Linked DNA regions of Oryzias latipes. The protein of the gene in region 1 interacts with the protein of each later gene in a biochemical or structural test. Links are inferred from orthologs where the notes say so. Each region holds a gene or a part of one and is shown in the gene's direction. Other genes may lie near its edges.

Evidence for each region.
Region 2: the proteins of fga (region 1) and plat form a complex in vitro, tested with the Homo sapiens proteins (2 studies listed by BioGRID). The link is inferred for Oryzias latipes from reciprocal best matches to the Homo sapiens genes FGA and PLAT.

The regions. Positions count from the first base shown.
Region 1 is NC_019876.2:1,411,698-1,422,791, forward strand, and holds fga (fibrinogen alpha chain), read left to right. Parts: upstream 1-4,147; 5' UTR 4,148-4,172; coding exon 4,173-4,183; intron 4,184-4,262; coding exon 4,263-4,440; intron 4,441-4,592; coding exon 4,593-4,697; intron 4,698-5,739; coding exon 5,740-5,923; intron 5,924-6,005; coding exon 6,006-6,151; intron 6,152-6,234; coding exon 6,235-6,333; intron 6,334-6,409; coding exon 6,410-6,562; intron 6,563-8,065; coding exon 8,066-8,678; intron 8,679-9,283; coding exon 9,284-9,993; 3' UTR 9,994-10,246; downstream 10,247-11,094. UniProt on the Homo sapiens protein: Cleaved by the protease thrombin to yield monomers which, together with fibrinogen beta (FGB) and fibrinogen gamma (FGG), polymerize to form an insoluble fibrin matrix. Fibrin has a major function in hemostasis as one of the primary components of blood clots.
Region 2 is NC_019867.2:6,185,443-6,196,412, reverse strand, and holds the start of plat (tissue-type plasminogen activator precursor), read left to right. Parts: upstream 1-4,693; 5' UTR 4,694-4,744; intron 4,745-8,447; exon of another isoform or gene 8,448-8,581; intron 8,582-10,132; 5' UTR 10,133-10,175; coding exon 10,176-10,238; intron 10,239-10,467; coding exon 10,468-10,510; coding exon of another isoform or gene 10,511-10,591; intron 10,592-10,740; coding exon 10,741-10,875; intron 10,876-10,970. UniProt on the Homo sapiens protein: Converts the abundant, but inactive, zymogen plasminogen to plasmin by hydrolyzing a single Arg-Val bond in plasminogen.

The DNA.
Region 1 (11,094 bases):
TCAATACTGCTTGCCTAGTGGGGAGCATCTGCACAGAGACCGGTAAGTCGTGGGTTCAAATCCACAGGCTAGTCATCCCAAAAGCTCTCCTATTAATGCCTCCCCTCCCGGCTTGACACTCAGCACAAAGGGGTTGGATCGGGGGGTTAAACCACCAAATGGTTCCCGTGTCTGCAGCTCACCGCCCCCCCAGGGGAGGGGTAACATGCCGGGAACAAATTTCACACACACAAGTGTTTTTTACAACTTTGAACAACAACAAAAAAACTTTCTTTGCTGAAAAAAAACTCAAACCTTCAAGTCCTGAACTCAGTTGTTTGTCAACAGACACACAAGGAAATGGAAGAAAAGTAAAGAGATGCTTAGAAGATCTGGAATCAAGAATTCAGGTACTTAAAAAAAATAAAAAGAATTCAGGTACTAAAAGGTTTCGTCTGTTTTCCCTTTAGTGAATCTGAAAGACACAACTTCCTGTGAAGAAGTTGAAGTTTGTGCAGCTGAAAAGGTCGGACGATGATCAGACCAACATTTGAAGAGACGGATATCAGGAGGTGAACACAGAAAAAATCCCCACCTTTGAACATTTATTTTTGCTGGTTGCTATGACTACGAGCTTCTGGTTCCTCATGAAATGACTGATCAGATCAACTCCAGGTTAATTAAATATTGATTTTGGAATAAGAGATTGCTCCACTGAAACACAGAGTTGAAGTCCTAACCATTTACCGGCTCTGTGTTTGGTTTAGAGACGTTGCCACGGTAACGTAATCTTAGTTTTCTTCTTCTGAAGAAGAACTTTTGTCTTCAGAAGTTCCTCAGCTTTAGCCTTTTGCTTTGCAGGGAGTTTAAATGATCCACGTGAAGTTCAGAGGTGGGTGGCGGCCGCCATGTGGGTGTCGTTGTGGTGTATTGTGGGGGAGGCCTGTGGTCATTTGGTCTTTTAAATGAGCGAGTTTTCTTCAAAGGGGGGCGGACAAACGTCAGCCGCAGAAGAAGCACCTCTTCTCTAATTGAGCCTCTGGAGGTCGGCTCCATCGGCCTAAATGGGATTCAGCAGTTTGGTATTCTGCCTGCCATGCAGATGATTTATTAAAGGTAACATTCTTTGACTGAAGTGCAGATGCTGTGGATAAAGAGGATCCGGAGGTTTGAGTCCGTGGACCCGCGTCCTGCCACTTTTTCACCAACGATCTCAGAAGCTGAGCGGCTCTGCTTGTCCGACATTGTTGTAACTTTCCATTTTGGGGAAATGAAAGTGAAATCCAGGTTCAGTGCTCTGTACGTTAAGTAAAGAGAACCTGATACAAGCCGCTGAAAACCGACTCCATTAGCATTTAGACTGGTTCCGCCGCTGTAGAAGACTTCTTTTGTGTGAAAGCTCGCGGGAACATCAGGCCTGAATGTCGTCTGCCTGCTCTGGCGGCGGCAGAGACGGATACGCTTTTGTTTGGATGGAAAATATATATTTGTGCCGCATCGGCAAAAGAAGGCGAAACGATGTGGACGCCCAACAGACCCGACGAGAAGGTCAGAGAAATAATACGGCTGATAGAAACCATCAGGAAAAAAACGCTGAACCATTCAAATCAAAAGAATTATTGTTTCTAAGAAATAAAACCATCACTGAAATCAGGACATAATCCATGAATGTGTGGAGAAACAATATGGACTGTGAGCTTCAGGTGTTGTTCAGGTCAGACCAGAGATTGTCAGGTGTCGGGGTGAATTACATTTAATCACAATAACAATAAAGTTGTTAGTAGGCCAATAGTTTGAAGCTGGGGAAACTATGGTGCACTGGGGTTCTGTCCTCTGTTCTCATCTACTTCTACTCTCCTCTATTCTTGATCCTTTAGTTATCATTTAGTCTCCATGCCTCTGTTTTTCCTTACAGAGAAGGAGGATCTAAAGGCAGAGATGCCAGTTTAGTTTAGTTTAGTTTAGTTTCATTTAGTTTAGTTTACTTTATTCTGTTTAGTTTAGTAGCCAGCTGTAGTATTTTACAACTGATTTTAGGTTTTGTACTGATTATCGGTGTGAAGCCCGACTGTGTGGTAATGTTGGGCTGTAAACATTAAATTTAATTGAATCTTACTTTACTGTACAGTCATCTCTTCCTCTCATGTGGTCATGTGACTGGGTTTGTTTAGTGAGTGAAGGAAAAGTCTCCATTGACCTAAACTTTCTCTGGTTGCCATGGTGACAGCTTCCCGGGGGCCCGCACACACGTACTTTGGTCGTCTGTGATCTGCAGTGATTTTCTGCTGATCAGATCACAGTTTTTGTGCCAAACGTCAGGTGTGTCACGTCTCAGAGCAGCACCGTAATGAGATCATTCTGAAAGACCCCCCCCCCCCCAGTTCCACATGCAGCTGACCAAAGCAAATTCTGCAGGAAGACGGTGGCATCTTCAAAGTTCTGTCAGTTCCAGTCACGCTGCGTCCTGCATGAATTAGGGTCAGTAACGGGGTCTTTAAATGGAAAATGACTGAGTTGCTTCATTCAGGCTCACAATATCAGCAAAAGGCACTTCAAAAGGCACTTCAAAAATGTCCCACTTCAAAGGAGAATCATCAAAGGACGGGGGGAGGGGGGTGTTGGCCCGTCTGCGTAATGACAGTCGGAGTTTTTGTCCTGCGCAGCCGGAGGATGAGTGGATGTCAGCGGCTGGAGAGGGCGGAGCAATTCTTTGTGCTCCAGACGATGTTCAGGAAATCAACATCATTTAACTCCGCCCCTTAGAGCCCCCCCGTCCTGCGTCTCCACCTCGATCCAGAGGACCTGGATCAGGTGTGTTCGGTCCAAAGACTGTAGGCAGTGCTCACAGCCTGCACTGAGGTCAGGGACTGGACCCCCGAGTGTAGAACTGCCCACCTCGGGGGTGGAAAGCCATCGTCTGCCTCCACCTGGTGGTGGGATCAGGCACACGCAGGGCAAATGTCACAGTTTAGAGGCATTTTATCACACAACATGTCAACTGTCAACAATGGTGAGAAACGCCAACACAAGAATGACACAATCATTTAAACCACAACAAAAGACAAACAGAGAAAAAAAATGACTTTAGATTCATTTGTAACCCTTGTGCTATCCTATGGGGTCAAGATGACTTTTAACGTGTTCTCCCTACCATGACAAAGGTGGATAAAGGTGGAAAGATTTAATGTAATCCATGGACACCAGTGAAGATCACAAATCATTGAAGAAAAAAGGTTCAGAGCACTGTCTAGTGGGTCTAGATGACCCAACTCCCAATGTTAAAGTGCCTAGGATACCACAAGGGATAAACCAGAGTTTGCGTGTTTCTTCTGCAAAGCCATGAAGGTCTGCAGTGTTTCTGCAGAGAAATAGTTTATACAAGACGACAAACTCTAACGATGTAGTCCAGAACTAACTAGTGGCCTGGATGTTAAAAACCATTCAGACACCGTGCTCACTATTTTGGTTGTTTTAAACAACAGATATGACGTCACTGATTTCACAAAGTCAAAATCTACAAATTAGGATCATTCAATGTCTTTCATATATTGGAATAAAGCTTTGACATGTCACACCACTCCAACTGTAGGTGGCAGACATGTGCTAGTATTGGGCAGCGCCAGTCCAGCTCGTTCTAGAACCTGTGTTCAGAGCGTTCTTCAATGTGCATCACATGCCTGGTGTCCACGCATCCTTAGACAATCAGAGTGTAGTTAGTGTGGACATCTTACGGGCGTCCGATGACCACCTATTCATCACACTCGGCATTCGCGTGATGTCATTAACGACTAGAGTGTGGTGTACGACACCCACTTTCATTAGCCTTACTGCGCCGTGACAATGACGTCCTTTGAAGTGTATATGAGACTCAAGGGAACTGCTCTGCCCTTAACATGCAGCGGCTCCTCTCTAGGAGGACAAATAATCTGTGTCAAACATAAAAAGGGGGAAAAAAAATGTTTTTAAACTTATTAACTGAGTATTTGTGACAAAGCTTTTGTGACAAAGCTTTTCAGGGGAACCGAGGTGACCTGAGGTCTCTTTAAAAGACTTGAAACATGGCTTTTACTGGCTCAAACGCTCATGTGACCAAAGCTTGACTCTGCAAGTCTCATTCATCGTACAGGATCAGTCACAGGATGAGTCGGTCCTGTTTACCATCAGGGAAAGTTTGCCTTTGGAGGACGTGGAGGATGGGCTGCTGGTAAGCTGTGCGTGTTTGGGTTCACAGATTGTGTACTTTGCCACAGCAGGACAACAAACAGCGACGTATCGATCAGCAGGAGCCGTTGCTCAACTCTGATGCGACCTGACGGCCGGCGGCTCTCTGGTGAGTCACAGCTTTGGTGGAGGCCTTCAAAAGATGTGACTGCAGCTGCGCAGATGCAGTCAGACACAGAAGAGAGAAGGATGAAGCAGCTCGTGGTTCTCACCTGCCTGCTTTGTGTGGCTTTCACACAGGTGAGACACGCCTCTCTGGAGGTTTTAAGTGTTGCTTCTTTTTTGAGGATCCCAGAGAACCTTTAGTTTGAACTATATTTCCGTGAGCTTTGGTCTCTTTCTGACGCAGTGACCAGCCTCTGGTCCTCACAGCCCAGTCTCTGTTGTTTCAGGACACCGTCATCGACCCCAGAGGAGCTCGACCGGTGGAACATGGAACCAGAGACGAGAAATGTGCCACGCAGAAGGAGTGGCCGTTCTGTCTCGACGATGACTGGGTACTCTTCCTCGTTTTACCGCCTATTCATTCAACACACGGTCAGAGTAGCTGAAGTAATGGTCCGGGGGAGGAATGTTGTGGTTTTCCTAAAAACCTCCTCAGAGACTCTTTTCCTTTTCACGATTCCCTTCGAAACGGTCTTTGCAGTACGGAGCGTTCGATGAACTTAGCCGTAACGGATAAACGTTTTCTCAAGAATCGACACACAGCCTCGTCATAACACATGTCACCAGGTTTGACCCCCCCTTCAACCGAAAACACAAAGCAAAGAAGGGAACCACTTCAATAAAAACAGAAAAACAGCTGTGAAAACTTTGGATGCACAAGGAAATTCTGCTAAAACAAACAATTTACTGACGAAAATGTCTTCGTTTAGCGATCGCCTGACATGCTTCCTTCAAAGATACAGATGATTAATGGTCAAGGGCCATTGATAACTGATAATTGCACCCAATAAAAGTATGAATATGGGTGTCCAAATGTCAAACAAAAGCCCCAACATTTACCTTTCTTTAAACACTGTAACCATGTTATATTTTGGAGGAACACGGATGACAATAATCTTTAGCATCTCTATACTTATGTTGGACTTAAACTCATTAAAATGTTTTTGGGGTATAAAAGGTAAAACCTCCTGACTTCTGTAAGGGATTCATGTTTGCTTTAGGTTTTGCTAAACGCTCAGTTCATCGTCCTTTAGGATTCGTGGTCAAGTCTTCAAGGTCATTCTGCTCCTTTCCACACTAAACCATCAGAGACAACCAATGAACGCGCTTCCTCTAATAATGTCATTTCCTGTTTTTTTTTATCTTTCATTCGTAGAGAAAAAAATAAGCAGACAGTCTTTGTCCTGCAGCTTTAAATTGTATATTTTAATGCATCATTTGCAGAGATTTAAATGTCACATTTTTTATTTTGTTTATATTTTTTTTTTTGGGGGGGGGGGGGGGGGTTACTTAAACCCTACAAAAGTTGATTTAAATTCATTTTTCTGTCATTTTCTTGTAGTGTGTTAATTTGACCCCTTTTGTCCACCGTAGGGCCACAAATGTCCTTCCGGCTGCAGGATTCAAGGTCTGATGGATAAATATGACCATGACCTGCTGAAAAGGATCGAGTACATCCGTGACCAGCTGAATCAGCACAAGGGAAAGTATCGCTCTGCCGACCAGGTGTCCAAGCAGACCCACGACTACCTGCGGGAGAAACTCACCGTCGATGCAGGTCAGAGTCAGAAAACCGTCTCTTCTCCTCCTGGATTTGGTGGACAGGAAGTCCCATCGGTTGTGCTATCGTCTCCAAACAGGTCACGACAACAAGTACTTCGAACTGGCCCAGAGTCTGCGTCAGAGAATCACAGAGATCAAAATCAGGATTGACAGACAGATGAAAGTCATGGCCGCCTTGAAGGGGCGAATCAGGGAACAGGTCACGGAAATGCAAAGGCTGGAGGTATGGAGAGAGCGCAACATCTACCTGAACCTAAACCGGTTCATCTGTTGGTGGTGACGTCTGTTGCTGTTGCTCTCTGGCAGGTCGACATCGACATGAAGCTTCGCTCCTGTAAGGGATCCTGTGCAACCTACCATGAGTACCAGGTGGACCAGCAGAGCTACGTCACCCTGGAAAAGCAGGTGGGGACCGCCGCAGTTCCACCACATCAGTGAGAAGACCTGCTTTTGAAGGTCTCTCTGTCTCTCTGTCCATCAGGTAGCCCAGCTGGACTCGCAGACGCCACAGAACATCGAAGCAGCCGGGACGCTCTACGTGATGAAGAGCCGGCCGCTTAAGGACCTGCAGGTGGACAGCATCTACAAATCCAAGGCCGTGCAGGGTCAACAGAAACAGGACCTGTTCAGTGACGTAAGCCACTATTGACCACCCAAAAACACCTATGTGCCATTTTTCTTCAACGCAACAACAAATAGTCACAGGATGAATTTTTGGCTAAAGATGTCTAGGATCAATTTTAGGTCAGTGGGTTGTTCACAATGAACCGATATGAATCGTATCTGCGACCACACATTATGATATAATCCCAAAATGAATCGTCACACCCTATCTTAACCCCCAACACCAGAACTGAAGGTCTAACCCTAACCCTAACCCTAACCCTGATTGTTGATGTTCTTTGAACCACTGGGACTTCAACCATTTACGCAATTAACGTAAACCGAGGAATTCTGACGCTGAGGAAAGCAGCTTTACGTCAACATGCAACACTTTACGATAGCATGCTAGTAGCTTAAAGTGTTGCATATCGGTGCAAAGTGTTTTCTCTGCCTAAAGATCTGTTCAGAATGTTTACATGTACAGAGAGCTCTTAGTCTACAACACTCTGGTCAGATGTTACCGTGGTTCACCTTTCGCTGTCGTTCTGTTTCGCAATTTCTTTGGTGCAACTTTGCGTCTTTTTTACAGGGTATTGTGTTCTTCGTCCTGGTTGGCTGCTGACCTTGTCAATCAGTCTCATCTGTGACATGTCTCCTCTCCAGAGTTCATTCTTTTTTCCTTTTATAATCCTGGACTTTTTTTATGTATGAAAGTTTAAACTTTGAGAGTTGAATATCTTGAATTACCCTAGCTTCTAGCTCTTCAATCACGCACCGCGTAATTCCAAAGAATTAAATATCGACGGAAAGCGTATTTTCTTTGAGTCAGAATCTGTTGGACTTACATTTATTGGATAAATCAATAGAGTTACAGTTTACATTTGGTAGAGTGAGGTTTTTTTATTTTGTAGTAGCAGATGGATTTTCAACACATGACTGAGGGACTTGACATGTGCCAAGAATGAGTCGGGTGTGGTGGAGAGGGAATCTGGTCGATTTTCAAAATAAAACTTCCTTTAGAATCAATTTGGAACAAAAATTGGGAAAAAATGAAGATCATGATGTGTTTACCAACTGTCCCACCAACCGGCCCGTGGCCTGCGCGTTGGGAACCGCTAAATTTAAGATCTCCATCACCTTGCCTTAACAAATTACCATATAAAGTATCAATACTAGAAAATGTTCAACAATTGAAATTACGTTATTCGCGTGAATGGTCAAAGAGTTACTGTAGTTTACGCAAAGATTGTGTGTCTTTTCTTGTCGCAGATGAGTTGAGTTTGATAAGAAAAGTAATTAAAAAAAATCTTTTCGGGATCTTTCCCAAATTGGAACTAATGGAAAACTGTTGGCCCGTCTTTTATCACAAGCATGTACTGGTACATTTCTGAGCAGTTCTGTGGAGATTCTCAGGAAAATAAAAATTGAGGATGGGGTCCAACTGTTTTTACTTTGTGACTTTCCGAAGTCTTTTAAAGTTGAAGTTTAATGTTGACTCCTATTCTGAAGTTTTTACCGCTTTCATTCCTTTCAGATTAAAACGCTTAAGCTTGTCCTGGAGGAGGAAGGCTCCAGCTCGTCTCCCGCAACCGTCTCCAAAGAGCCAGGTACTCCTTTCCCGTCAACATCATCATCATCATCCTCATCATCCTCCTCCAGCTCTGGTTCCTCCAATCCATCAAAGTCCATCACTGAGCTTGGAGGACGTGGCGACACAGACTTTTTCGGTGGAGGGTTAGGAGGGTTTGGCGGTTTCAGTCAGGCGAGTACAGGCAGTGTGACCACCAAAAGTGTCAGTTGCACCACCCATATGAAAAAGGTTGTGGTTCAGACAAAGGCTGGGCCAGTAGAAAGGTACGAGACGGTAACTGAAGGGGGACCAGAGTGCCAAGGGGGAGCTGATCTCACCAAGGGTGGGCTGACTTCCTTGTTCCCCAGTTTGAGCCACACATCGTCCTCCATGTCAACCAAAAGTGGTTTCAGCAGTGGAGCCAAAGGAGGGCTTTTAGGAAATCCGTTTGAGGGCGACCTTGGGAGCGACCTCGGAGCCTTCATGACCGACAACGCAGAGGATGATCTTCCGGATTTCCATGCCCGGAGTCTAGGGAGCACGGTCGTCAACCGGCAGGCCGATTATGTAGGAAAAGGTACCAAAACTACTGACTTGGAGTAAAATCTGCAAAGCCAAGAAAGAAGGAGTCAGCTAGATAGCAAATTTCAGCCTGTTAGCTAGCATTAGCATAAACACCAGACGTTAATGCCATCGTCCCAACTTTTTTGTAGCCTTTAGCATAATTGAGAGCAAAACAAAAGGTGGAAATAAAGAAAATGATGACTTGAAAGCATTTAAACCTTTGGTTGCTTCTTTTACTTTTTTAGCTTTTTTATCAGGGTTGTAGCTACACGCTAACTGTGCCTACCTTTGTTTGCTAACAGCTGAAGTTGCTACTGTGTCATCTGTTGTGCTCCTCGCTAAACAAATTAAATAAAAGAACACAAGTGTTTCTTTGAGTTCACACTGCGTCAGCGTTCTTTACAACAACACAACTTAACCATCTAGCTGACCTAATCAAGCCTTTACTTACGTTCCAATGTCTTCTTATTGTTACGATGGTTCAGTTTGTGAGCACCAGTAGGGCCCTAGAACCTGGTCTTAAAACATGCCTGTAGCCTGATTGTAAATGGGTCTTAAAATGGGGAAAGCTGCTCCACGCTAACTGGCGGTTTGCTGTGTGCCCCTCCTTGTTTACAGATTGTGTTGAAGCCAACCAGAAGCACCTGAAAGGGGAAACAAATGGCCTGTTTAAAATCAAACCCGGCGGCGCTGACTCCACACAGGTGGTGGAGGTTTACTGCCAGCAGGAGGGGGTGATGGGGGGCTGGTTGTTAGTTCAGCAGAGGGAGAGCGGAGCTCTTAGCTTCAACCGCTCCTGGGCCGACTATCGCGGCGGGTTTGGCTCAGTCGATGCTCAGGGCAAGGGCGAGTTCTGGCTGGGCAACGAGAACCTCCACCTGCTGACAAGTCAGGGTGAGACCATCCTAAAAGTGGAGCTGGAGGACTGGGAGGGGGGAAAAGCTAGTGCCGAGTACACGATGAGGGTAGGCTCAGAACAGGAGGGCTTTCCATTGCATGTCTCTGGCTACACAGGAGACGCTGGAGACTCTCTGGCCGCACCAACGTCAGAGAAAGCCTCTGAAGTGACTCACGACGGCATGAAGTTCAGTGCATTTGACAAAGACAACGACAACTGGGGGGAGAACTGTGCCGAGGCGTATGGGGGCGGGTGGTGGTACAACAGCTGCCAGGCGGCTAATTTAAATGGGGTGTACTATAAAGGCGAATATGACCCAGCGACAAACACGCCGTATAAGACCGAGAACGGAGTGGTGTGGTCATCGTTCAAACCCGTCAACTACAGCCTGAAAACCGTTCGCATGCTCATCCGATCCGCCGCTTTTTAACTAAAGAACAGCGCAGAGTCTTAAAAGCAGAAAACCTTAAGTTTCTTTTTGTATTTTGGTAAACAAACGAGTCGAGGTGTTTTTTATTCACCAAAGCGTACTAGGAACCGTCCTCCCACTGTTGACTAGGTTGACAAGGACACTGTTGTTAGCTCTATCCATCCAAAGTTCCTGACCTGATGTTTTCTGGATTACTGAACTCTGTGGATCAATAAATCACCTTTGTTCCATCAATAAAGGTTTGAGAAATCATTCTAGTTGCTCTGGCTGTTTTTTTCCACACACCATGAATTTCACAAGAAATAAAGCCTCAAGAAATGTTCAGTTCTTGTAGTTAATGGAATATTTTTACATTTATCTCTAAATTTTAGTTACCTGTGTTATTCAACTAGGTAAAAGATTCATGTAAAGGTGAATAATGTCAATATATTGTAACATAAATACATTTAAAATAAGCCTAGGTGGACAAGTGACTTTACAGCCACTTTACATAATAACGGAGTTTATCTGCAGGTTAAATTTTGGTCTTATTTCTTATCTCGTCCATTAGTATCATGGTACTTTCCTGTTTGTACATTTTTGTTTCTTCAGTTTAGTTCTTAAAACCAATATAGAATTGTGAAGGTTCTTCATAAGTTCTCTTTACTCCTTATAGGAAAGACTTAAATAAATCTAATAAATTAAACAAAATTCTTCAAAAACAAACCAAAAGCTGCTTCCAAAATCCACCTGATGGGACGTTCAATAAATCAATAAAGAGAAACATCTGAAAGTGGATCTCTGAGGGGTGGACCGGTTCCCGTTGGTGACCTCCGACCCTCGCTGTGGTTTGAACTGGGGCTTAGTTGAAGGTCGCCTGACCTGCTTCTGCTTTCCTGCAGTGTGTTTGAGGCTCAAACAGCAGAGGCAGGACCGCCCCCACATCCTCTGGAACCCCCCCGGTCACGGGTCACCTCAGTGTTCAGCGAAGGCCGTCCTGTGTTCGGATGACGAGTGGGTAAGCAGAGACCCAGAACACTGGGATGTCCCTTTATTTGTGCTTGTGAGTCATTATGTTTATTAACTACAACAAATGACTTCATTTGTGTTCGTTTATTCTGT
Region 2 (10,970 bases), on another chromosome or scaffold:
TGGGCGGAGCCAAAACAAGACGCTTTCTTTTACTTTCTTTTGTTTTATCTTCTATTTTTTTTAAATTCTTTTATTTCTACTCTCTAAAAGTTTTACATTGATTTGTTTCTTTTATTTCTGTTTTAACCACAGAGATATCTGTACTTAGCATCGTTTTTTATCATCTTTTCCCTCTTTTTAGATTAAATAAAACCCTTTTTGAGGACAAGTGCTTCCTGATTTTTTAAAATTACACCTGAAATACATAAACTTAACTTGCACAAACTAAATAGTCTTAGTAGCAGTTTTCAAAGCAGCTTATGTATCGATTATTTCTATAAAAAGGCTTAAAAACATGTGATTTTTTCTTTTTCTTTTTTTTTATTACTTATCTATATTTGGTAAAAAATAAAACCTTTTTCTTTAAGTGTTCTTTGATGATTTTGAAGCAGCTGTATTATTTTGCCTTCACAAAACATATATTCCAAAATTTTCTGCTGATATATTTATATATTAACTCAAACAAAAGTGATCTTCACTGGACCTTTTGTTTGTTTTCCCTGCTGGAACCCTCACCTGAGGAAGTGATGTTTAGGTGATTTGTTCGGATATGTTAAATTAAACCGTTTGACAAATACAGGCACTGAGGTTGTTTTAGGTCACAAACAGCCAAGTTTGTTGTCAAAAATAATTTGAGCAGGAGGTCCTAGATATATCTTTAGGGACCACATTTCTGGTTGATAATCAGTCATTTTAGGCACACATTTGCAAAGGTTTCGTTTAAAAAAAGGTGTTTAAGTCAAGGAACAGTTTTTGTTCTGTAAAGTTAAAGACCCACTCCAATGATAATCGTTTTTTTTGTGTTTTTAACACGTTCTTGTAACAATTTATGTTGATGGAGGACATACAGTGTGTAGAAAAACGCAAGCTTAAAATTGCATTTCTGGGTATTTCTTCATTAAAATCGTGAATCAGGAGAAGAAGAAAAAATAGGAAAAACATTGTACCGGTAACTGTGATGCAGAACCTGCAATGCAAAGTCACAAGCTCATTGCTCCCTTCTGATACATCCACTTGCAGACAAATAGATTCATGTATGTCTGAGCTGGCATCTGGCTCAAAACTGTACAGCTGGATAGCTTCAGTATTGCTCGTCATTTTAGTTGCACCAGTAATGTTAGGTTGGGGTTGTGAGGGGCTGTAAGCTAGTGGGAGAGTGTGTAAACAAAGGGATGATGGGAAGTAGGAACTGGCTTGAAAATGAAATAAATCAAAAGAAGAAACCTCAGGGGTGTCCACAAAAACGTAGGATCCTCCCCCTGGACGGACAGGCGATGTACCAGAACCCTTGGAAGAATTAGCTTATCTAACTCGACAACTACATGTTTAAATAGTCCAGCAGATGGGCTTCATAGGCTTCTTAGGGTCCGCAACCAAGGGTAGGAGCAAATCATAGATTGTTTTTCTGGTAATTTAATTTAGATTAATGATGATAGGAGAACAGGCATTTATTTCCTGTTTGCACACTTCCACAAGTGTGGTCCGGAAAGTCCGGAGCTGACAGCGGTTTTCTCAAGATGTACAGTAAATCTCTGTCTGTCATAATAAAATTCAAGTTTTACAATAAATCCCTGAATTTCCAAAAAGACATCTTAATATTGAAGCTTTTTCTGTGGATTTTGGTTGATCTGCAAGGAAATAGTAAAAAATAATGTCTTCATTCATCTGTTCACCTCTGGAATAAAAGCAGATCATCACCAAAACAGAGTGGTTGAACATTCCATCACTCCTGTGCGCTCGGATCTATCATTTTCTGCCATTTCAGTCATAAATATTTAGAGAAACAGTTTGGACACATTAAAGACTTTTAATAAGAGTAACGCTTGAGTCAGCCTCTAACTCCGTTTCAGTACCACTTAAAATATACATCTGTAATCATCTCCCTTCAGTTACTCATCAAAACAAAAGACAGAGATATTGTTTAGAGTATCTTAGATTTCAAAGCGTTTGCAAAACCTGTTTTTGTAAAAACACATTTGAACAGAAGCATCGTTACTGATTATCTTCCAATTTTTTGAGATGTCCATCAAATTTGTTTGTAGGATGTTCATGTATTAAACACTCACCAGTAAGGATGTTGCTTATAAAGAGCTTTGGTTTCAACTGAAGTCAAAGGTTCTTTTTCAGTGACGTCATCCCATCGATTCTTTTGCGTCTTAGGTTGAAAGATGCTGGATTTTTTGGAAGAAGAGGCACTTCAAACTTTCCAGCGTCACACAGTGATGCTGTGGAGGCTATTCTTAGATGGAAGTGTTTATCCGGAATCGAAAGCATCACCGGGCTTTGCTCTAAACGCTGAGACTCTGGTGGTTTGTGATGTTTTTGTGGTGTAATCTGTGAGAACGGTGTTATCAGATTGGACAGTTCAGGAGGAGGATGGAAGATTTTCCTGTTTATGAAAACAGAAGGAGATACGTCCCCCAGAGAAGACAGCGGTCCACCAAATAGGGCTATAAATGTGACACGGGAAAAAAAAACAGTTTTTGCTTTATTTATTTTGTGTATAATTTATTTATTTAAGCCTCAGATTATACAGATTTAGCCCCTAATTACATACTACAGAACCCACATTGTGTTTCCAAAATATTCTAATTCTTAATTGTCTCTACAATATAAATTAATTCCTTTAATATTTAAGGAAGACATTTTACAACAGCTACAGTTTGTTTTCAACCCCATTCATTTGTGTTTTTAAAAGTACAAATGGAAAAATTGACAAACAGAACCAAAAACAACATCAGCAAATTCCTGCATTTCATCTTACACTGCAAAAACTGAATCTTAGAAATATGAAATAAGATTCTAGTTTCAAGAAAAAATGTCTTATTTTCTATTTTGCAAAAAGGATGATCAAATCACGTCAATTTTAAAACAGCAAAAATAATCTTAATTGTAGAAAACTTTAGTGTCTAATGTTTTTTTCTTAAAATAAGAATTCTTGTTAATATTGGTAGATTTATATGCTTGTTTAAAGAAAATGCTTTGTATTATTTTTTACTTTTTCCCAGGGGGGGGGGGGGGGGTGATTCAGCATTGTAGACCCAAACAGTATGAACCCAACACACTTATTTTGTTGTTAATAATTTCTGTTTGAACTAGTTCTAAATGATAGCTTTCATGTATAAAAAAGGGGGGGGGGTGAACTCTATAGAAAATAATAGAACTTCTTACCATCATAGATGTTGGCTTTTCATAATAAGAGTCTTGATGGGGTTTTTTTCTTTAGATTTGGAGCACATGTTCAACTGATACATAGAGCAGCCATTCAGCCAGGTCTCTTACATTATGACTTCTTTAGTGAACTTGAACTTATGCAAAAAAGTTTGAAATTAAGTTTACAAAAGTAATTCCATTGTGCAGGGCTTGCTTGATTAGTATTTCAAATACTATCATTTCTGCTCTTATGTTAGTTGTTGTAAAGCTGTTGAGGTAAGCAGTTAGGGCTTTGGCTGTCTCTGGGGGTAAATTTTATTAATGGGCGAATCAGATTTACCTGTCCATGTAGTTAGTCTATGAAGGTCTGTCAATCAGCATGTCAATAATTAATATAAAAATAAAAAATTAAACTTAAAAAAACTGGAGATTTCTTGGTTCGTCAACTAGAAATAATCTGAACTTTTGCATGGTATCCTTTTTTTGTGAAGAAAAGTGAAATAAAACAGACACAAATTAGAGTGACGCCCATTACATGCTAAAATGATGCACTCTGAGTAATACCATATGGGTTTCACTGCTGTACAAAGCGGTTGGCATGAATATTCGTGTAAAAAACCCACCTTAGTTCTATTGTTGAGGCGGATTTCCTGAGGAAAGGGATGGGTTGAACAAAGGGGGGGTGGTGGTGGTGGAGGGGGGGGGGGGGGGGGGTTGTGGTTGGGATGAATTAGTTCTGGTGCCAGACACAGAGTCTCTCCCCATCATCAAAGATGCCCCGTAAACACTATCTCAATTAACACCTGTCAGAACAAAACCACACAATGAATAAATGTGACACTTTTCATCTTTAAGGATTAAAATGAACAAATTATCTATCACATATGAAATTCTTTAGAGGGGAAAGATCACAGAATAATTCAATATTATTCAATAAAATAGTTTTTGACGCTTATGTTGTCTTTATTTAGATCCAAAATAAACAATAACCCTGTGACTATGTCTGATTCTCTTTTGCTTGTTGCCAATAATTTTACAATATTGTTGAATTATTATTCAATGTACACACAGATTATTTTATTGTCTTGAACGGGGGATCATTGAAGAATTTTTGGGGGTAATCAAAGCATGGTGACATTTAATCTGCTTTTGTGTGAAAAGTTAAACGGTGTTTTTTTTTTTTTAAATAAAGAAATTGACTAACTGACTGACTGACTGACTGACTGACTGACTGACTGACTGACTGACTGACTGACTGACTGACTGACTGACTGACTGACGGACACAATAGTTTAAGGACTAACTGTATTGGACATGTATTTCTTCCTAAAATTGGTCTGCTGCTGCTAGGGTCCCTCCCCCGCGTGCGCGCGCGCTCGCGCAACCGTCATCCTCCTGCCCTGTAAAACGCGCTTACGGCTGAGGTCACGTCGGCCCTCCCCTACAGGATCCTGCGGGACCGGAGCGGTCCGATAAAAGCTGCCAGAACCATCCCCATCCAAACCTGAGACTTCTTTGGACGGAACCACATCTCATACCGACACCAGACCCGGTAAGAACCGTTTTCTCTCCTCTGGTCGCTGCTGTTTCCTCTTCCGACAGACCATCGCGCCTGATTACTGCGCGTTTATTCCACACTTATAGCAGTTTGTATTCATTTAGCACGAAAATGAAAACTGTAGATCTGCCGATTTCATAATTATCTTTTGGACAGAATCTTTATTAGACAAAAAATGTAAACGCAAAATAACAAAACAAAAAAATAGATGTTTGTTCAAAGATACCTGAACAACAATGTCTAACATTACTATGTATGTGATGTGTATTATAAATATAACCTTTTTTTTACTGAGCTGTCATAGAATTATTTATTTTAGCATCATTACTTATATTCTACAACCTTTAACACTATCGGAATTTGTTTAGAGTCACAAAGTCTGACCGCACTTTTTTTTTTTAGAAAAAACTCTTTTTTAAATCTTTGTGTGGCCATTAAACCATTCATATTTAAAATATAGCTTATAACTATTTACAATAATCGAATTACAATTTTTTTTTTATTATAGGCCCATTACTTTTGACAGCATCAAATAAAAGTTCCTTTCAAAATAAAATGCACCCTGCTGCAGTAGATTAACTTGAAATCATGATTTTAGAACTTTGCAGCTGAATAACAACTAGACATTAGAATATGAGCTTAAATGTGTTGTAATGATAAACCACTCTGACAATAGATCAAACTTTTTACCATCATCTTGCAAAGTTATTTGATGTGCGTTGATTTTGGAGGAATGGTAACGTTCTCAATGCCTCCTGATTTAGTGGAGTAATGTAAGGATTGGTTAAAAAAAATCAAAAATAAATGACAAAATGGAACTAATATTAATTCAGATTGATAGCATTTTTCTTTAAAGCCAAAGGGCCAAAATGGAGAGGATAAGAGTGGCTCCGGAGCCTCAGGTTGCAGACCCCTGTACTAGAAGAATCAGGATGAGAGGGTGATCCTGAGGTAACCCTCCTCCTGTCAGGCTCTGAGCTTCTCCATCACTCCGATTTGAGCTTAGAAAAAGCAGATCCAGAACCTTCATTCTAAGCGCTCAGCTGGGTTTCTGACTCACATTATCAGCGGCTTAGGCCTTTAAGTTTGCCTAATTAGACTGTGGGAACAGCTGATAACATGTAATGTTTGTATTGCTGGGAATTTCTCTGTGATTTTTGAAAAAACACCTTTAGTTGGAATAAAAGCAAGCTATTAATCCCACAATGCCTTCATGTCTGCAGTCCTGGAAGCTCGGATGACTCAGAACTACTCATTCTTACTCTGTTGACCTCTGAGATTGGATTTCTTCCTTTCTCATGGCAATATCCTTCTCCACATCCTTTCATATCCTCACATAAAAGCCAGTTTCTGTTAGAGACTCTTGTTTCCTGATGCCAACAACTAACAATGCTCATCTTTGTTCTGGAGAAACTGGTTCTCTGACTGACATAAAAAAAAACAACCTAAAAGTAATTTACAACTTTTTTTAGGAAGTAATCCCAAAAAGTATTTTGAAGGTGTTATGAAAGCTGTAGATACAGAATTTTCACACTCAAATTTGCTTTAGAATTCACAATCCTCCAAATATTGGAAGAAAAAATGAATAATGTTACACAAAAACGTCCAAATATTTATGGCTAAAACAGAGACGGACGGCAGACTTCCCCATAGAAATATCACTTCCTTATTTCTTTTCTTTAATTGTCTCTTCTTGCTTCCTTTTCTCTATAAAAGTCGCCTTGTACTTTTTCAGATTTCCCCTGAAAGCAGCTGTGAAACCTGACATATGTGCAAAGACACAGTTGACATCTATCCAGGTTGGACTTTTTGCAGTGCTGGTCACGCAGAGCATCCACGTTCCTTCATGTTTTCTAAGATCTGGAGCCCAGCTGGGCCCCTTTAATCGTCCATGCTGACACCAGAAATGAGGAGGGGAGGCTCAGGGATCCACTTCAAACTGTAATTTGAGTTGAGCAGCAAAGTGCAGCTTTCTGCCTCAACTCTATTGTCCTGCTGACTTTTCTGTTCGGTCACAATACGAGAGAAATGTCTCACATCCATTTACACGCTCAGTACACCATCATCACACTTTTGAGAACTCATCACAAATCTCCCTGTTAAAGACCTGTTCCTGAGACAGGAGTAGCTCTGTTTACTTTTGTTTGCATGCTTTTGTTGTGTTTGCCCCACTGAACTGCTGCACTTTTAGACCTGCTATTATGATTCATAGTCTGGCTTCAGATTCTCTGAAGATGTTTGTGGTTCTTCCACTCATATCTGACCTACTAACAGGAGGAACTACACTCCCTCTACACAGGCTGCATACTTGGTTGTATGTGTTACAGTTGTGAACAGGCTGGGTGTAGCACACAAAAAGCCTTAACCCCATCATTGCTGGTGTCCAATAAGCTTCTATCATGAGGAGCTGAAGTATTTGCTTTCAGATTTGATCAAAATTCGTTTAGAATTCCCAGTTTAGATGAAATAAAATCGTCTTAAATAAGAAAAATTTCTACATTTTGACTTAAAGTCCCACTCTGATCATCTTTTCATCTATATTTAAAGTATTCCCAGTGGTCTTTCAATTATAATTATGCAATTTTTAGGAAATTAAAAAAAAAACAACTGTCGTTTTGTAAGACATAGTTTCTGCAGAGCGGCAGCACTTCATTAGAAATTCATGAGCAGGACTGTTGGTGTGGAGTAAGCCCGCCCCCTTCCCTATCATTCACACCCCCAACCGAACATTACCGGTGCAGTAGATATATGGTGAGCAATATCCGAAGTAACCAGTTTTAATGCAGAGACAACTCAGACGAGGGAAACACAGACATACATGAATCTAGTGGAGCGGAGCAGGAAGCTTGTGGCTGGCCGTAGTAGCTTCTACAGTTTGTCACACCTTCAAACTCCAAATTCACAACATATTGTCTAAAGAAAATAAGCCGAATTTTCTTTATATATTCCTCCCTCATCAGAAAAAAGCCACAGGAACCTGTAAAAAACAAAAAAACAACAACAGAATTTTCATTAGGGTGACTCTTTAAGATGTTGATTTTTTATTTTATTTTAGTCCCTGAACTCACCGTTGAGTTTGCCAATCACCTGGGATTTTTACAGTGATGCAGGAATGGAACCGACACCCCTCATTAGGATTGTTTTCATTGAAAATTTTAACATGAATGATTCAAACAATTTTAGCTTGGAAATAACTAGGGTTCTAAAACATAATTGTGATTGCTCTTGGAAAAAAGCCTTGGAACTTTTGTTCAGTGGAGCTTTGTCTCTTTTTTTATGAAATTTTTTCACATTGTTTTGAACTTGTCTTTGATTTGATCGTGGATTTAAACATTTCTATTTTGTTTCCACATGTTAAACCTTTTCTTGTAAAACATAAAAACAATTTGATCGGAACTTCTTTTACTTTTGCAGGGGGGGGGGTACATTTTCAGGTTCATTATGAAATTTTTGTGCGATGCAACCAACAATATCTGTTCGAAAAGAATCTTGGGTTGTGCTAAGAATATGGATATCAATCATTACCACAAAAACTGGTATAAAGATAAATTAATCGAGCAAATTGTAAAGTAGAAAGTAGGTTGTGTGTTTGCTCGTAATAAGATGGAAAACAGACTACAGACGATGCAGAGAGCCCCTTCCAGCCTGCCCTGCCTGTGTTTTAACAGGAAACACATGTTTTGAGCTGACACGGCTGGAGACTGAACCACGCTGAATAGCTGCACAAAGGAAACACAAAGGAAACTGCTGTTTTGTTGTCAGTGAGGCTCGGCCGGCAGAGGGGAGGCTCAGAACGGCAGCTTTTCGTTTGCAGACCTGTCTTTTTTGGTGGTGAGTGTGTGTCTGTTGCATGCTTAAGGGGGGTTTCAGACAAGGAAAAGGTTGCAGGGTACAACCGTTTCTGACTTCTGGTTAGCTCCACAGTCCTGAGCCCTTTGTGTGAGCTCTGAGCATGGGTCTGTGTGTATTTGTGGCTGCAGACGCAGCTATTTTACCTCTGTGATGGCTCAGAACACAAAGCCTTTTCATAAGATCAGTCAACCCCAGAAAGTGAGTCAGTGAGGACCTATCTTCTTCATCTCTGATGGACTTTTCCTTCAAAGGAGCTTCCTAAAGTGGTTTTTGAAGCTGCAATAAACTCTTCCTTTCTGTTTCTCTGGTCAAATGGGTGCAGCCCCCCCCCCCCCCCTATTTTTTCCCCTTCAGATGGTGATTCATGTTTATTCACTCTTTACTGAGAAACAGCTGTTCCGTCATGTAACACACATACCCTCCATTTTTCTCCACTCTGCTGGAGCTTAAATCTTATCAGGTTAAGAATCCTGGTTGGATTGTTTGAAGTGGTCGCTAATGTTTTTAGGATGAACATATTCCACTCTCTGTTTATTTCAAGGGGGAATTGGCATCTGTATGTGAATAAACTTAATGAGAGAGGGCTCAAAAAGAGAATCTAAACAAATCAGGGAAGAGAACTGAGGAAACTTGTTGGCCTTTCTCTGCCGAGAACTCATGTAAACTTTAACAAATAGCTTTTAGTTTTGCCAGATTGTTTCTCTTAAACAGCAAAATGATAGACATTTAGGAAAAGGTATAACCAAACAAGAAGACAATCTGTTTTTCTGCACATGTTGACAAATATTGATCGCTTACCTGCAACATTTGCAATAGGATTTTGCATGTCCATGTGCATCTCAGCTTTGACATCTTAGATTATATGACTTTACTACTACTATACTGCACAGAAATCTGTCTTTTTCTGGAGTTTCTGGAGTTTCCTCTTCTCTTGAATACCTATTTAAAAATCCATACAAATGTTGTCGTAACATACTTTTGGGATGAAGAGAAAGCACAAAAATACAAATACATATGGCTGCTAGATTGGCTTTTTTGAGGCAATATTCTGGTAAGCAACTGGATAATAACATTTTTTTATTTAGGATACTGACAAATTGCAAGAGTAATTTAGGGTTAAAATCATCTAATTAGTATTCTCTAATATTGAAGGATTTTTATTCCTGAAAATATTTTACTTAAAACTGGAATTTTGTAAATTTGCTTACTCCCACTTCTTTTTCTGGCAAATAATTAAACTCTTTTTGACAATTGTATCATCAAGTACAAAATATGTCCATTTATGATTAAGAATAATTATGATGCCATCATTTAGATGTGTATATATAAATATGCATATGTATCTTCACTACTTTTTTTTAATTTTTCAATCAAAATGTGACTAATCTATACTTTGATATATCTATGAATAGATGTATATCTCTTTTGTTTGTCTTCTTTAGTATTTTTTGTTTGTTTTGATAGCTTGAAATACATTAATTCCTAATTTTTAATTTTTAATCCCCTGCTGTGTTTGTGTTTTGTTTCCAGCAAACTGAAGTCCACCTGAAGTGAAAGTTCACCTGGGGCAACCATGACAAGATCTGTTCACCTTTTCTTTCTCCTTTCTGTTCTCTGCTGCAGCCTAGCGGACAATGTAAGTATTGCAGGGGATTAACAAGTTAATGTTTGTATTTTAGTTCTTTTATCTGTATTCTAGTGTCATGTGTAAGTAATCTTACATGATTTCTTCCTGCATGTTGATACAATTCATAAAGTTTTATTTCTGTAACAGACTTGCACTTTTTCATTGTTTTATGGAAAAAATCGAGTCTTTTCAGGCCTCATACTGATGCTCTGTGCTTACATGGTCGTTTGTGTTTTAGGCGGAGCAGCCCCGATCCAAGCGAGGAGCTCGTTTTTACAGAGGTGAGCCTGCCAGGCAGCCCGCTAGACAGACGCTTTGGATTATTCGTGTCCAGAAGTCCTCACCTTCCTTTGACAATCCCCGTGAGACTCATCCCACCTTCGTCACTAATTGCATCAACAGCATCATTTTCTTCTAACCCCTCACCATCTGTTATTATCTTTTTATGAATGTGTGTGTCGTTGTGCTTGTTTTGGTTGTTCGCTCATTTTCCATGTGTGTGTTTCCTCAGTGCTGTGTGTGGATAGTGAAACGTCAGCAGTGCATGGTTATGGGGACACATGGCTGCGATGGAAGGGGCAACGTGTGGAGTATTGTCATTGTGCATTAAGAGGACAAGAGCGCTGTCATTCTGTTCCCGTCATCAGTGAGTGCGACTTGAGCCATAGTCATAAAAAAACTGTCTCGTACTTTTTTCTTTCTTTTTTTTTATAAGTGTAACTTCAGTGTTTTATCATCTTC